Linked DNA regions of Drosophila melanogaster. The protein of the gene in region 1 interacts with the protein of each later gene in a pairwise test. Each region holds a gene or a part of one and is shown in the gene's direction. Other genes may lie near its edges.

Region 1 (8,408 bases):
GCTGACGCCGATCAGGATGCCCGTGCGCAGAGCACTGCGTCGCAATCGAGGTGGTCTCCTCCGGAATCCGCCGCCGCCGGCGTACAGTGATCTGCAAAAGTTCCGCGGGAAACTGGACAAGCCGGAGACATGCAAGCGGAAACTTTGGCGGACGCTGCAAGTGCGGCCAGTAGTGGATCGGGCGGATGAGGAACTGCCCACCTATCCCTACCTGGACTAAATTTATGTGTAGAAGCTGTATACACTGGGAAAAACACCCGTTCACTATACTAAAAACTAAAAAGAAAATCACCTGGAAGCAATGAAATTGCTTTATCTTTGAAAATTATTAAAGAGCAAATGTTGTTGCGATACAATAAAAAAAAACTTATTCAAAACTAAAGAATACAATGGCACAGAAAATGTAATATTCAAAAATGGAAATACCCCAAGTGACTGGAATTTCTCTTTCTGTAGCCACGTTTCTCATGTTCTTATTTATTGTGCTTCTTGCATAGTCGAATGTTTATGGCCCAGAAAACAGTACAACAATAAATAAATCCACGGCAAAGACAACAAAAAATAAAGGGCAACGAACGCTGAATCCACGGGTAAAATGACCTCAGTTGACACTGAAAAAAAATATAGTTTGCAATAAGATATTAAGGTTTTCGAAAGAAAGTCGAGTTCATATTGAGGGCACACTTATAGGAATTACCCACATTTTCGCTGCGTGTAGGCAGGTAGAAAAAGGGGCTGCGCCGGAAATTCGGACTGCGCCCTCTGCGATTGCGGATATCGGCTAATGGCGCTAATCGCCACGCGACTTCAATTTTAATTGATACCCAACTCAGTTTCTCCCGCTGCCCTTACAAAGTGTAAAGGAAATAACGCTTGGTTATAAAATAAATTTAAAAAAAAATTTTCAATACATATATTCATGGATTTTTATATATATTGTATGTATATTAAAGTGCGTACTCTAAGCTTAATAAACAAAAAAATACAATACCTTTTAAAAATATATTTAAATTTTATAAAGTCGTTATAAAACTGGCAAAATATAAGCTAGAAAAGTATTTCGAAATAAATATATCGAAATATACCAAAATATATGCTAAATAAGAGTTTGCTTATATACACTTTTTGAGAAGCGCATAGAACGGTGGCAAATACTCAAACCTTTTTGCGATGATTAAATACATTCATAATTCGATTGTTTTTGGCCATTAAGCAATTGCACAATAATCTTTTGGACTATTTAAATATTGTTTCAAGGTTTTGAATATAGTTTTGCCCAGAGTTCCACTAACTAAATACATCTTAGGCAGCGTAAACAATCGTTTGTATTTTCATATTTTCATATGCTCTCAAAGGTAGCCCAAAGGAAATGTTTACGTATGTATCTTCAAAATGTCTGAGTGAATTCAAGGTAATCAAAGATCAAATCGCTTCAATGTTTTTACATTTACATGCCAGCCAAATATGTGCATATGTGGTGGGCCCACACCCGATTTTTCTGTGTGTACACTAGTGCTTCCATCGGATATTTTTGTTGCCATTAGTTCAAACTTAAAGTTTCTCTAAGCTTAATAAATAAAAAAATACAATACCTTTTATACATAACTTTAAGTCATAGCTTAAGTTGAATATGTTAGTTACTCGTGCAAAATATTTAAATATAAAAATAATGCAAAGCATATATTTTGTTTACAGGGCATTCAGAGTTGGTTTTAGCCATCGTATTGCCCTTGTTTTGCTTTGGCCGCATTGTGTGTCAATTGAAACTTAATTGAGAGACAATTTTGGTATTGGCCAAATATCGTTGCGAACTTTTGTATTTGGCCAACGAAATTCGAACATGAAACGAGCAAGAATTTCGCAGGGCTGATGTCACTCCACCGCCGCTTTTCTTTTCCAAATTTTAATGAGCCGCTTTTGGGGGAGGATTGGTGAGACCACAAGTGACACCACCACTCAATGCCCAATGCTCTGTGGGATCTCCTCAGAATTCTCACCCATCAATGTCAAGTGGTCGAGTGTGTCTGTTTCTGCGAGTTCTCGACTTCACATCTCGCATCGCTCTAAGTACATAAGTGCCTTTTTTCGCTACATTCCCCCCCAAACAATACATTTCTATTCTATTTCAAAAAAATGCCTCTTTTAAGTTTTTTTTCGGTTTTTTTTTTGTGGTAAATCCCACCAGGCCGAGGATCTTTATTACACGGCCAGATGGAATATCTCACATAGCGCTTGCATTTCCAGTTGTATTTCTCTTTTTTCGATATTCTTCGATTTTGGGATCCTCCTCTTTTTCGAATGGGGATTGTAAACAAACAAGTGGCGGATTGTTTATGGGCTTAGTCAGTGAAGTAGTGGGAAAAATGGGGATGGGGATGCCTTAAGATGCAATGACTTTCTCAAAATATCCAAGTGCATCCTACAAATGCTACATTAAATTGAATATTTGTGAATGCCTTTCATGGAGTTGCCGATTCCAAATAGAGATTGTATAAAGTTTTCTATTTTTTTCTATATGTTTTTAGCCAACCCTTGTGACCACTAATTTCAAACTTTAGCTACGCTACTTTTTGGCCAAGCCCATAAACTCTACTTTTCGCCATTCGGTTGGTCCGAATAATCCACGTATGTTTCAGACTATGTATGTATATATATCTATCTCGGAACATTTCACTTTCGCCGGCTGTTGGCTTGGTGCCTCCAGTTTTATGGTGGATATATATTTTATCTGTCCATGATTCATGGGATTCATGCCACCACAGACATTCCCGCAAACTAACATGTGCCCGCCGGTTCCTGGAATTGAAGAAAACAATCCGCCGGAATGGATTACAGATCTTGGATTAGTTATGGATATCTGCTGTCGGTGTTATTATGTACAGAATTTCCAGCTATGCAAGAAACTACTTCCCGCAGAACTTTCTGAACATCCTTAGTTCTTTGTGAATAAAACTGATTAATGGCCAGACACATTGCTCATACGCAGCGTTGGTCTCTTATGCACTGTGATGTTTCGGGTCGTTTAATTGTGGTTAAATAAAACAGTGACATGCATCGCTTACCTACACGGAGAACTGAGAACAGCACCGGCAACGGGAGTCATTTCCTTTTGGTTATTTATCTTACTTGGACAGTGCGTTGCGAAATTGTAAGACATGTGCCTACTATTGTCGTTTTAATGTTAAAACCGAAGTTGCTAAATTCTAATAAGCATTTACATATAAGATGATGTAAGCCCAAACAAAGTATACACTCGTGCTATTTTCCTAGCCTTACATGTTTGTCGCGCACTGTCGCTGGTTGCTTAAATGTTTATGCTAACGGCAGCAACAATTGGCCGGCCCACGTGGGTGGATTTGGATTCGGATCTGTATTTAGCTGCGGCCGTAGCTATGAGGTGGCATGGAATGGGGATGGTGATGCCGATGGTGATGGTGATGGTAATGTTAATGGGAAATGGGGCCGGACTCTGCCTCTGCCGGCGTCGCAGCGGCCGCATCTCCGGACGGCATCTCCGGCGGAAAGTGAGAATTCAGTCGGAAAGTGAACGCCGCGAACGCCGCCGCCTCCAAAAATTGTCGCGCCAAGTAGTAAACCCAACTTTCAATCTATTCTAGATTCAACTGCCAAATCATATAATTCCAATTGAAAACCAACCAAAGTTTAATTCAAGGAAATCCCACCGCGCCCCGTGTTCATAATTATTTTTTTTGTTGAAATTTTTTACTGTGCGTGCATTGGCATAAGCGATTTGAATCGCCAGCTGGCGGCATCAAAAAGCTGGAGAGGAGGTGCTAATCCCATAGACAGCACAATAAAATTGGCAAAAGTTGCGAAATGCATTCCACGGCATGCGGCGTAGGTGCCTCGGCCACAAATCTCTCGACACTGCAATCGTAAGTTCACCTGGGGTCAAATTGGGATCGAAAGAGTCTTGGAAAATATATTTAAATTCTATAAAGTCGTTATAAAACATGCAAAATATAAGCTAGAAAAGTATTTCGAAATAAATATATCGAAATATACCAAAATATATGCTAAATAAGAATTTGCTTATCTACACTTTTTGAGAAGCGCATAGAACGGTGGCAAATACTTAAACCTTTTTGCGATGATTAATACATTCATAATTTGAACTTTTTGGCCATTAAGCAATTGCACAATAATCTTTTGGACTATTTAAATATTGTTTCAAGGTTTTGAATATAGTTTTGCCCAATGTTCCACTAACTAAATACATCTTAGACAGCTTAAACAAACGTTTGTATGTTTTCATATGCTCTCAAAGGTAGCCCAAAGGAAATGTTTACGTATGTATCTTCAAAATGTCTGAGTGAATTCAAGGTAATCAAAGATCAAATCGCTTCAATGTTGTTTACATTTACATGCCAGCCAAATATGTGCATATGTGGTGGGCCCACACCCGATTTTTCTGTGTGTACACTAGTGCTTCCATCGGATATTTTTGTTGCCATTAGTTCAAACTTAAAGTTTCGTCGATTTCAGTGGACCGCAAAACAATCCATCAAAAAACAGAAGAGGAGGAGGGATAATGCGGAGCGCGGAAAAACCAACAAGTGAAATTCTTGTGCCGCGTTTTTTTTTCTCTTGCAGGGAAATGGGGAGGAAAATCGGTGGATATGTGGGGGTTGGGGGCGTGGTCACATGCTGGGCCGTAAAGTAGCTCACAAGAAGCGCAATGTAAACAATTACTCACACTGCTCATTTCCCACTCTGCACTTTGTTCCGCTTTTCCTGCCCATCGATGTGTGTCAGACGAACCGAAAATAGTTTTCACAGGATGATTGGGGCGTGGCATGCCACATGAAAGCGCAACACAATGTGGGGCACTTCAAAAACCAGAAATCTGAAAAAAAAAGAAAACAAAAACATCCAGTAGCCGAAGGGAATTTTTCCACGACCATTTAATGAGCCCGCCGCCAAGTGCCTCTATCTCCATCTGCACTTTTTTTTTCGGCTCAGAGGTTGCCCAGAGGTTGTTGCCCAAACCAAACCAAATTCACGAATTCCAGACAGACAAGTGACAAGTTCAAATATGCACTCGGAAAAATATATACTAACAATAATCGAATCGAGTACAGAGTGCAAATAGACTGAGTTCATACGAACTTAAGAAATATTTGATTTCTTATGTGCATATCTTAAGTCAATTTAAAATACACACTTGAAGAAATCAAGAGGCATACGGGTAATATTTTTTTTCAATATTATTATTTATTTATTATTTTATTTCGAATTTATTAAGGCGTAAACTTATTTTGTGTTTTTTTAAGCATTTCCTACACACACTCGATTCTATATTTTCAATTTGTTAGCTTACAGTGAGTTAGTAATTACTGTTTTTTTTTTACTGTATTTAGTGGAAATGCAGAAAATATATAAATCTCGATTTCCGCGCCCCTTCTCCAGTGCGAGTGCGAGTGAGAGCTTAGATCGGGCCAAGGTTAGCTGGTTAAATGTGTTTGTGACGTCACCGCGTCGGCGTCGCCAACAACCAACGCACAAAAAATTAAAAAAATTAAAATTGCATGTGATGAATGTGTATATATATTTTCCACTGCATTCGCACCTAAAAAATATCAACGAGCAAAAAGCCATTTATTTAATTTTGGGTTGGGCCTGTGACCATTGATGGGCAGCTTTGCTGGGGATCGCAAATGCAGAGATGATACTTATAAAGAATATTCAGCATTTCAATAGTCATTATTTTTAGATAACTAACTTTATCTATATTATTTTGAATGATATGTAAGATAAGAATAATTATGGAATTTTAAAGATGATGTTTATTTATTTATGTCAAGCATACTTGAGATTGATTTCTAACGGAAACAAGCTGATACATTTATCTCTACAATTTCCTCTCTGATTTTATAGTTATACTCTCATAAAATCCAATTTCCAACATATTTCGATTTTCAATTCCAAAAGAAGCCTACGCAATGTTGTGTTTACAGTAGCTGTGATTCGGTATGCAAATCCATATAAAATGGAATGGAAACCAAAAAGGGCAGATAAAGCAGGGTCAAGTGTTGAGTTATATTTTTTATAAACAGTGGGATGAGTCTGCGTGATGGATTCCCTGTAATTAGCCCATTGTCATGTGGATGGACGCAATGCCGCCCACTCCGCCCACGAGCGTACGCTTCAAGTACAGTGAAGCCTCCCCCAAATCGCTCCTCCTCTTCGGTCAGCGTGCATGCCATGCATTTAGGGTAAATTATCATAGCATGCCAATTTAGAGGTGATCAGATTAAGGTCATATCTTTGTTTGTTGTCACACATTGGAAAAATGCGTTGTGGGGGTCAGTGAAGTTGGGCTACACCGAAAGAAATAGCTGGGCATACATTTATTTATACAATGAATTCAATAAAGAGAAAATTATGTTAAATGTAGATCAATTTCAAACAATTTGTTAAGCCTTTAAGCCTCTTAAAATTAACTTTATAATAACGCTTTAAGCTCTTCTTATGAGTGGATTAATTTTTTCGAGTATACCCAAACTGCGCTCAACTGCCGATAATTTGTGCAATTTGTTGACACACATTTTAATTTTTTCCGTGCGCTCTTTTTTGTTCGCCATTTGTCGTCTGCTGTTGCCTTTGATTTGCCTCTGGATCCAGCCACTATATAGTTTATAGTTTATAGTATATAGTATATTGTATACTGTTCACTATGGCGACTGTGGCAAATTGCACGCTTTAGCAGCACGACATCGCGCATGTATAAATAAATAAGTAGTGTTTTCGCCAGCCATCTACATACATACATACGTATGTATCTCAGTATCTTTGTATCTCTGGTGCAATTGACATGCTTCCATGATCATCATCCTCCTTGTGGCGTTTGGCGTTGCCTTTTGTCCGCTGCGCAGCTCTTATCACCGGCAGACAACTGCAAATGTCAAACTGCAGCGGAAATCTGCGTGGCCCCACAAAATAGTACAAAAACAAAACTGCTCGGATGCTCAGCGGATGTGCGGAGATGATGGCCAAACGATGACCACTCCAGGGAACACGCACATCGGACCACAGTCGCGGTCAAGTCATTAGATCGGGTGCTAGGCTATCGTGGACATATGTATGTATATATTTTTCAAAATATATATCGACATTTTTAGTAGTCTTACATAACTTACTTTTATTTTATTGACTTTTTATTTAATAGAAAAGTATTCAAAAAATGTAAGTTCCCCGACGTTGAAACAAAAATTGTACAACTAAATATATATATTTTTTTGTATTTCCCTTTATTAGGCATAACATTTTTAACGTATTTCCCTTAAATATATATTAAGTGCTTGCCCGCTGCTGTGACTGCACGCTAACTTGCTTACCAATATCTTATTTCACCTGTTCCAATATAAAGCGCTGCCAATTTCACTTGCGTTTCAGAAGCACACATCCAAAAGATACTCAAAGGTCGCTGAAGATAGAAAATTAGATTAGAAACAGTTGAAGGAGGCACATTGTCAGGAAATGGGAAATAAATCAAAGTAAAATAAATGAGGTTCATAAATATAAGAACGACGCTTATCCTTACACAATTTACCAACCTTGGCGGCGATTGCAATTAAAGTGATTTGATGATGTCACTGGATTGTCTCACATTTTCCGATTTTCCCTCCATATTATCATTACTATTTTATTTCGCTATTTTTTTTTTTTTTTTGTGTTAGCTTGGCTCGGTTGCTTGTTTGGTTTGTTTGTTTGGTTGAGCCTGTTTTGTCGCCTCGCGTCGCTTTGTGTGTCCATTTTTGTGTGTCACTGTCAACAAATTGCTCTTAATGGCTCGCCGCCGGGTGGGTGGTGGCCACTGGCCACGCCCCCCGGCAACCACTGAAATGATACAACTATAACCGAAAGCCAACCAGAACCCGCAGAGCCTAGCATCCAGAATGATGGCAATCACGGCAGCTCTATGTCCATCGGGGTCGTCTAATTTTTTGTGATTTCCGCACCGCCAGCAACAATTTGCAATGCAGCGTGGAACAAAAACTAAATAAATAAAAAAAAAAAAATAAAATAAAATAAAATATAGTATGAAACAAAAATACAATAAGAGCGCAACAGCAGCTGCGCTGCGGCAGCGACGCAACTTCGCTGCCCACTCGGCTAGACGAAAAGCAGTCGCAGTCAGAGATGGCTAACATTTTATGCCATTAAATAATTTCAACTATTAAACTATTTATAAAAAAGATACTATAATTCAAAATACAATTTAATTAATACCTAAATGTATATTTAATTTTAAATATGAGATTTATGGGAAGGGATATAAATATGAATGCATGTAAATATATGTTTAAAAACATGTTATTTTTTGTATAATATTTGAGCTGTTTAATGAATTTGTTATTTACTTAAAGAATTGCTTTTGGTTGCTT
Region 2 (6,182 bases), on another chromosome or scaffold:
CTCTTTGTTTGGGTCAACTGGAGCGAGTCGATCACTCGAAGGATTTCACTGCAAAGGATATAGTTAAATGTAATTTGTCGGATTAATTGACCTTGAAATCGTTCCTATTTAACTTCCATTATTATATGCAAGGTTAGTACTTAGTTTTCAGCAATAATACTTCATTAAATAATTATCTGCTAATGCGATTAAGTGCACGATTGTTTGCTAAAGTGCATTACAGCATTACTTTATAGATAATGATGAATGCTAGATATTGGAATACCCACTCAAAGTTGCGCCCAGTGGTGGCAGGATACAGGATGGACAGGCGAAGCTTCTTCTTGTCGTCCACCACGAAAACGGCGCGACAGGTGAGGGGAATGCCCTCGGCATTGATCTCGTCCTTGTCCAGCATATTAAACTTGAGCGCCAGTTCCCTTTTGTCGTCCGCAATGATGGGATAGTCAAAGGAGCTCAGCTCTGCGAACAGAAACGCCAATTAGAAGCGATTCCTGTCCAGAAATCAGTGACCAAACCCACTGCCAAAGCTCTTGATGTCCTCGATCCAACCCTTGTGCGACTCCACGGTGTCGCAGGACAGTGCAATTGGCTTGACTCCACGCTTTTGGAATTCCGGAATCAATGCCGCCACCCGGGACAATTCCGTGGTGCAAACCGGCGTAAAATCCGCCGGATGGGAGAACAGAATGGCCCAGCTGTCCTGCATCCAGTCGTAGAAATCGATTCGACCCTCGCTGGTCTCAGCCGTGAAGTTTGGGAACTGATCGCCAATGTTTAAAGCCTTTCCGGACATGGTGGATATTTGAAAAAATCAAGAGACGAATTACGAGCTTTTTGGATAAATGCGAAACAAAATTTGCCGCAAAATGCAAATCAGCTGACTGGGCTAGGGTGCCCGTTACCTTTATAAGCTCAGCTCGACCAGGGATGCAAATATAAAAAGAACTAGTTTTCGTATGAAGATGTTAAAAAGAAGGCTCATTGTGTGCATTCATTTTGCAATCATTTCCTTTAAGTGTTTTAAATCTAAAGTATTTTCTTTGACACAAGCAAACGAGTGTTTCGTATATTTTCGAATTTATGAGCTCAAAAAGTGAACCAGTGAACCGAACCACTTACACGTGCTTGCATCCCTGGCCATTACTCATACACACGCACACTATATCACACATACGCGCAGTGTAAACACAAAAAAAGCTGAGAATTTCTTGCATTTATTTGTTTAAATTGAGCAAAGAGGATATAACCATGACAGAACTGAGCATCACTGGCCAGCAGGTGATGCCCCCGCCCGCATGCACACCACCGGAGCCCTTCCGCATCACAACGAACGCCCCGCACCAGATGAACGATGCCAGTTTGACGCCGGGACGCAGGAAGCTCCAGAAGTGGCTGGGTCGAGTTCTTCGGATCGTGATTACGGACGGACGCGTGCTGGTGGGATTCTTCAACTGCACGGACCGCGACGCCAACATCGTGCTGTCCATGTGCGCCGAGTACTTGGTGGAGGGCCAGGAGCCGCGCCTGCTGGGCAACGTCATGGTTCCCGGCCAGCACATAGTCTCCCTAAGCATCGACGAGCCGGATCCGCAGTCCAGCCTGCTGGTGCAATAGTGTGCATGTGTTTTGAATAAAATAAACTAGCTATTTGAAATTTAAGTACGTTTAATTTTTATTTTTGGATGGGGTTATAGTAAACCCCTCCACACTACGCCCCTGCGTCGATCAGCTGTTTGATAAGCCACTGCCGCGTTGCCAACCATCGCGCAGATGAATCAGCTGTGCTCGATTGGATTCACTGAGTTATTTGTTTGCTCGCAGCACTATTCCTGCCAATTAATAGAGTTAATCAAGCGAAACAGCGCGCCGAAGAGGATCTGCCAGCCACCCGATACTCATTCAATTGAGCCCAATCAGCGATGGACTTCACGACCTTCGTAAAGCCCTCAAATGGCGGTGGCGACAGCGGCGGTGGTGGTGATGCGGATGGCGGCGGCCAGAAGCTGCAGTTCTGGAAGCATGTGGAGTACATCGAGAACCATGGGAAGCAGGAGGACGACTACGAGTACTGCATGACCGAGTTTCTGCGCATGTCGGGCATCTATTGGGGCACCACTGCCCTGGACATTATGGGCCAGCTGGAGCGATTGGAGCGCAAGTCCATCATCGAGTTTGTGAAGCGTTGTCAGTGTCCGAACACGGGCGGATTCGCACCCTGCGAGGGCCACGATCCCCACCTGCTGTACACCCTGTCGGCCATCCAGATCCTCTGCACCTACGACGCCCTCGAGGAGATCGACCGCGAGGCGGTGGTCCGATTCGTGGTCGGACTGCAGCAGCCCGACGGCAGCTTCTTTGGCGACAAGTGGGGCGAGGTGGACACCAGGTTCAGCTTCTGTGCGGTGGCCTCCCTAACGCTGCTCGGCCGCATGGAGCAGACCATCGACGTGGAGAAGGCGGTCAAGTTCGTGCTCTCGTGCTGCAATCAGACGGACGGTGGATTCGGTTCCAAGCCGGGCGCCGAGTCGCATGCGGGTGAGTCACCACATCGCCTGTCATGCTTTCGCCCTCACAGTCAATATCATTTCAATTTAAACTTATTAATCTTCTGGGAACAAAAAGTATACTAGAAAAATAGCTAGCCATAAAGCTGGTGCTCATATATGTTATCCAAAAACTAATCTACATATAACCCGCAGGGCTCATCTACTGCTGCGTCGGCTTCTTCTCGCTGACCCATCGCCTGCATCTGCTCGACGTGGACAAACTGGGCTGGTGGCTCTGCGAGCGGCAGCTGCCCTCCGGTGGGCTAAATGGACGGCCCGAGAAGCTGCCGGATGTATGCTATTCGTGGTGGGTGCTCGCCTCGCTCACCATCATGGGCCGCCTGCACTGGATCAGCTCGGAGAAGCTGCAGCAGTTCATACTGTCGTGCCAGGACACGGAGACCGGTGGCTTCTCGGACAGAACTGGCAACATGCCGGACATATTCCACACGCTGTTCGGCATCGGCGGACTCTCGCTACTGGGACATTCCGGCCTGAAGGCCATCAACCCAACGCTCTGCATGCCGCAGTACATCATCGACCGGCTGGGCATCAAGCCGCAACTATTGCCGAGGCCATGAGGGGATTCATCGATTCCACATGCAGCCAGTGCGTAGCCAATGTGTAGTGCAGCAGACCTCTGACGTATTCCCACGCTAGCGTTTCTTAGTTTTATTTGTAAAAAGACCAAAATTCCATAGCAGGAACACCCTTTCTTTACTCATTTTCTTCGTTATGCATTTACCCCTCTATTATTATTAAATATAGAATATTTTGTATAGCGAACGAAAATCAGCAATAAACAAATATTTTACTTTAATTCAGATCAGTTAACATTTGATTTATTTGCAAAGATAACTAAACTAACATTTGCATGTGTGAAAAACCGTGTGAAATGTTTGCGGCTAGTAGTCTAGGTCGTTATACATATTAGGTAAATACATATCATTGTGTAAATTTATGTACATGAGGATACGATACGAGTGTAGGGACTAATTAGTTAAGAAGTTGGCAAAAAACTGCATTACAAATATGGCGAATCACACAAAATTGGAATTACAAACTAAACGCTAAGTGTAGTCACCGTGTATGGGTTAGCTCAATTAGAGGCAATTGAAACGAATCTTGCAGAGCACAAACAAATATTAATCGACCACATCATACATATGCTGTGGACAATGTCCGAGTGTGTGTTCTGTGTGTGTGTGGTGTGTGCGGTGTGTGCGGTGTGTTGTGATTGTAGTATACTCGATGCACGTCTAAGGCACTCTATAAACAATTTCAGCTAACAATCCGTTTAAAATTTATGTCTTCAACTACGGACTAATGGAGGAGCATTAGGAATTACTGAATTTCTCGTCGCTAGTCAGAACGTTGTATGCACAGCCGAGGGCCCAGGAGATTTCGTGGCCATCTATCTTCTTGTAAAGCTGCACAATTTAAAACGAGTTACTAGAGAGTTCAATTTGTGTTAAGTGCGCCAGGACTCACCTTAATCTTCTTGCCATCGTTGAGGCCAAATCCTTCGCGCAGCAGCGTCGAGATGAAGGTAAGGTCGAAGCACATGAAGGGCTGCTCATCGTTGGGAATGGCACAGATCTCCTGGGCCTTCTTGCGATAAGCTTCCACCGTGGTCTCGCCGCCAGCCAGTGGATCCACCAGACCCGACTCGATGGCCCGCTCAAAGTAGTAGCTGAACGCGGCCACCGCGTGCTGCTTGAGTGTGAACGGCTTGGGCTTGACCAGCGGCATTACCTTGCTCTTGACCAGCTCCAGGCAGGCATCGAAGTCCACAATGGGCTGCTCGGCACTGGACTTGCCATTCTCCTTGCCGCTGACCTTGTACTGCACATTGCCGTATGTCCACGTGCGATTGGCGATTATGGGATTCACGCAGACGCTCTCCAGCACCGTATCCTCCTTCTTGTAGCCGTGCGTGAAGACAGCATGGCGTGCAGCCATTAGACCCAGTCCCAGATAGCTGTGCGTGAAGACGTTGATCTTCTTGCTGGACGTGACCACCTCGTGCATGTACTTATCGTACACGGGCACCTGGTCCGGATCCGTTGGCGAGAAGGTTACCTGCGTGCTACCGCCGCCCAAGTCCAAGGCAGCTGCCTGGTTCGTCTTGGACAGGCGGCCCAGCAGGAAGTTCACGGTAAACCAGCTGAAGATGCCCTCGTCCGTGCCGTCCATGATCTCCACGGCATCCATATCCACACTAAACTCGGACTTGGCGAAGAGATCTCGGACGGCATTTAGAATGTTTTCCGCCTTGCTGGCGGGCAGGAGTCTCAGGCCGGCGGTCGCTTTCAGAACCAGCGGTGTGGAAGACCAGTGCTCCTTGGGTATGAAGGCGCGGGCCTCGTCCAGCAGCAGTTTGATGGAGTGGGCACCCTCGGCGGGATTATCCGCGAAGGAGCTCAGACCCGGCTTGCGCTCCTTGAACAGCTCCTCGTACAGCACCAGTTTGTTGTCGATGAAGCTGCGATTGAACTTGTAGGCCAGCACACGGCTGCCCGTCGATCCGGCATCGATGATGGCCGCATACTGCACCTTGCTGTAGCCAAACTTGGAGGCCAAACGGGCCAGATACGGACTGGCGTTCTCGGAGACGAAGCCTGCATCGTTGTCAGTCGTTGGTTTATTGGCGATGGGTTTTTTAGTGATAACACGGCGAACGGGTGGCGCAAAATGGGGTTCCACGTGGGCGTAGGGCACGGTAACAGTGGGAAAATCAGAGGTTTTCGTTAGTACAACTTTGGGCACTTCGTCTTTTACATAATACAAATGGTACACACCAAAGACAAAGAGCAGGAGGATGACGGAGATGATCAGGCACAGGAAGGAGATCTTGAGGCCGCTGGGCCCGCGGTTTCCACCACTGCTGGCATTTGGTGATCCGCTACTTTTCCGCCGCGGTGGCTTCTCATCCGTGGCCAGCTGAAAAGGCGAAAGACAAATTAGTTTTGTGACCGACTACTCAGTTATTTGATGGTGTTTTTCTTGGCCAAGTTCATCGGGTCTACCAGCTTATATTCGTATTTCATGGTTCGTTCCGTTGCCTCTGCTGGCTCCACATTTATGCATGGCCGGTTTCTTGGTCGGAACACATTTCAGTTGTTTGCTGCTCAAATATTAACACGCTGGCTGTTTGCTATCTCTGCGAATGTCAATGAATTTCATTTCTTCTCTTGTTTTCGGTCTATTTTACGGGCTTTATCGTTAACATGTGCCAGGGCTGCAGAGTCCGTGGCTCATCGATAACGTTAACCAGGGTTGGGCCACACTTTTGGCAACGGTAATTTAGGGCAGTTGGTAAACAGAAAACCGTTACTTCAAACAAAATAACCTTTTAAAGCGCATTACTTGGATATTTCCACGATTAGTATATATTATTGTTCTACCTAACTTTTCGCTAGTTTATATTAGTTCTTATAAGAACAAACGATAAACACTAAAAATAGTAAAAAATGCGTTTCTATGGCTTTAGCTATGGCTATTATTAATTTTCTTAAAATATAAAGTCATGCCAAATTACACATTTTCGCTGAGGAAGTCAGCGAAGCCAGTGGCCATTCGACTAGAATCTTATCGCGTAGCTTTCTGGGCGATATGACAGTGATAAGACGC

The links.
Region 2: the proteins of CG4829 (region 1) and RabGGTb interact in a two-hybrid assay, tested with the Drosophila melanogaster proteins (2 studies listed by BioGRID).

The regions. Positions count from the first base shown.
Region 1 is NC_004354.4:16,808,166-16,816,573, forward strand, and holds the start of CG4829 (uncharacterized protein), read left to right. Parts: upstream 1-3,533; 5' UTR 3,534-3,837; coding exon 3,838-3,896; intron 3,897-7,329; exon of another isoform or gene 7,330-7,447; intron 7,448-7,577; exon of another isoform or gene 7,578-7,780; intron 7,781-8,408. Other genes in the region: ppk28 (pickpocket 28), read left to right, coding at 1-220.
Region 2 is NT_033779.5:2,877,342-2,883,523, forward strand, and holds RabGGTb (Rab geranylgeranyltransferase subunit beta), read left to right. Parts: upstream 1-1,770; 5' UTR 1,771-1,922; coding exon 1,923-2,538; intron 2,539-2,702; coding exon 2,703-3,130; 3' UTR 3,131-3,367; downstream 3,368-6,182. Other genes in the region: Prx6a (peroxiredoxin 6a), read right to left, coding at 1-48, 270-462, 523-796; Sbat (sabbat), read left to right, coding at 1,252-1,617; NTPase, read right to left, coding at 3,887-3,979, 4,041-5,492.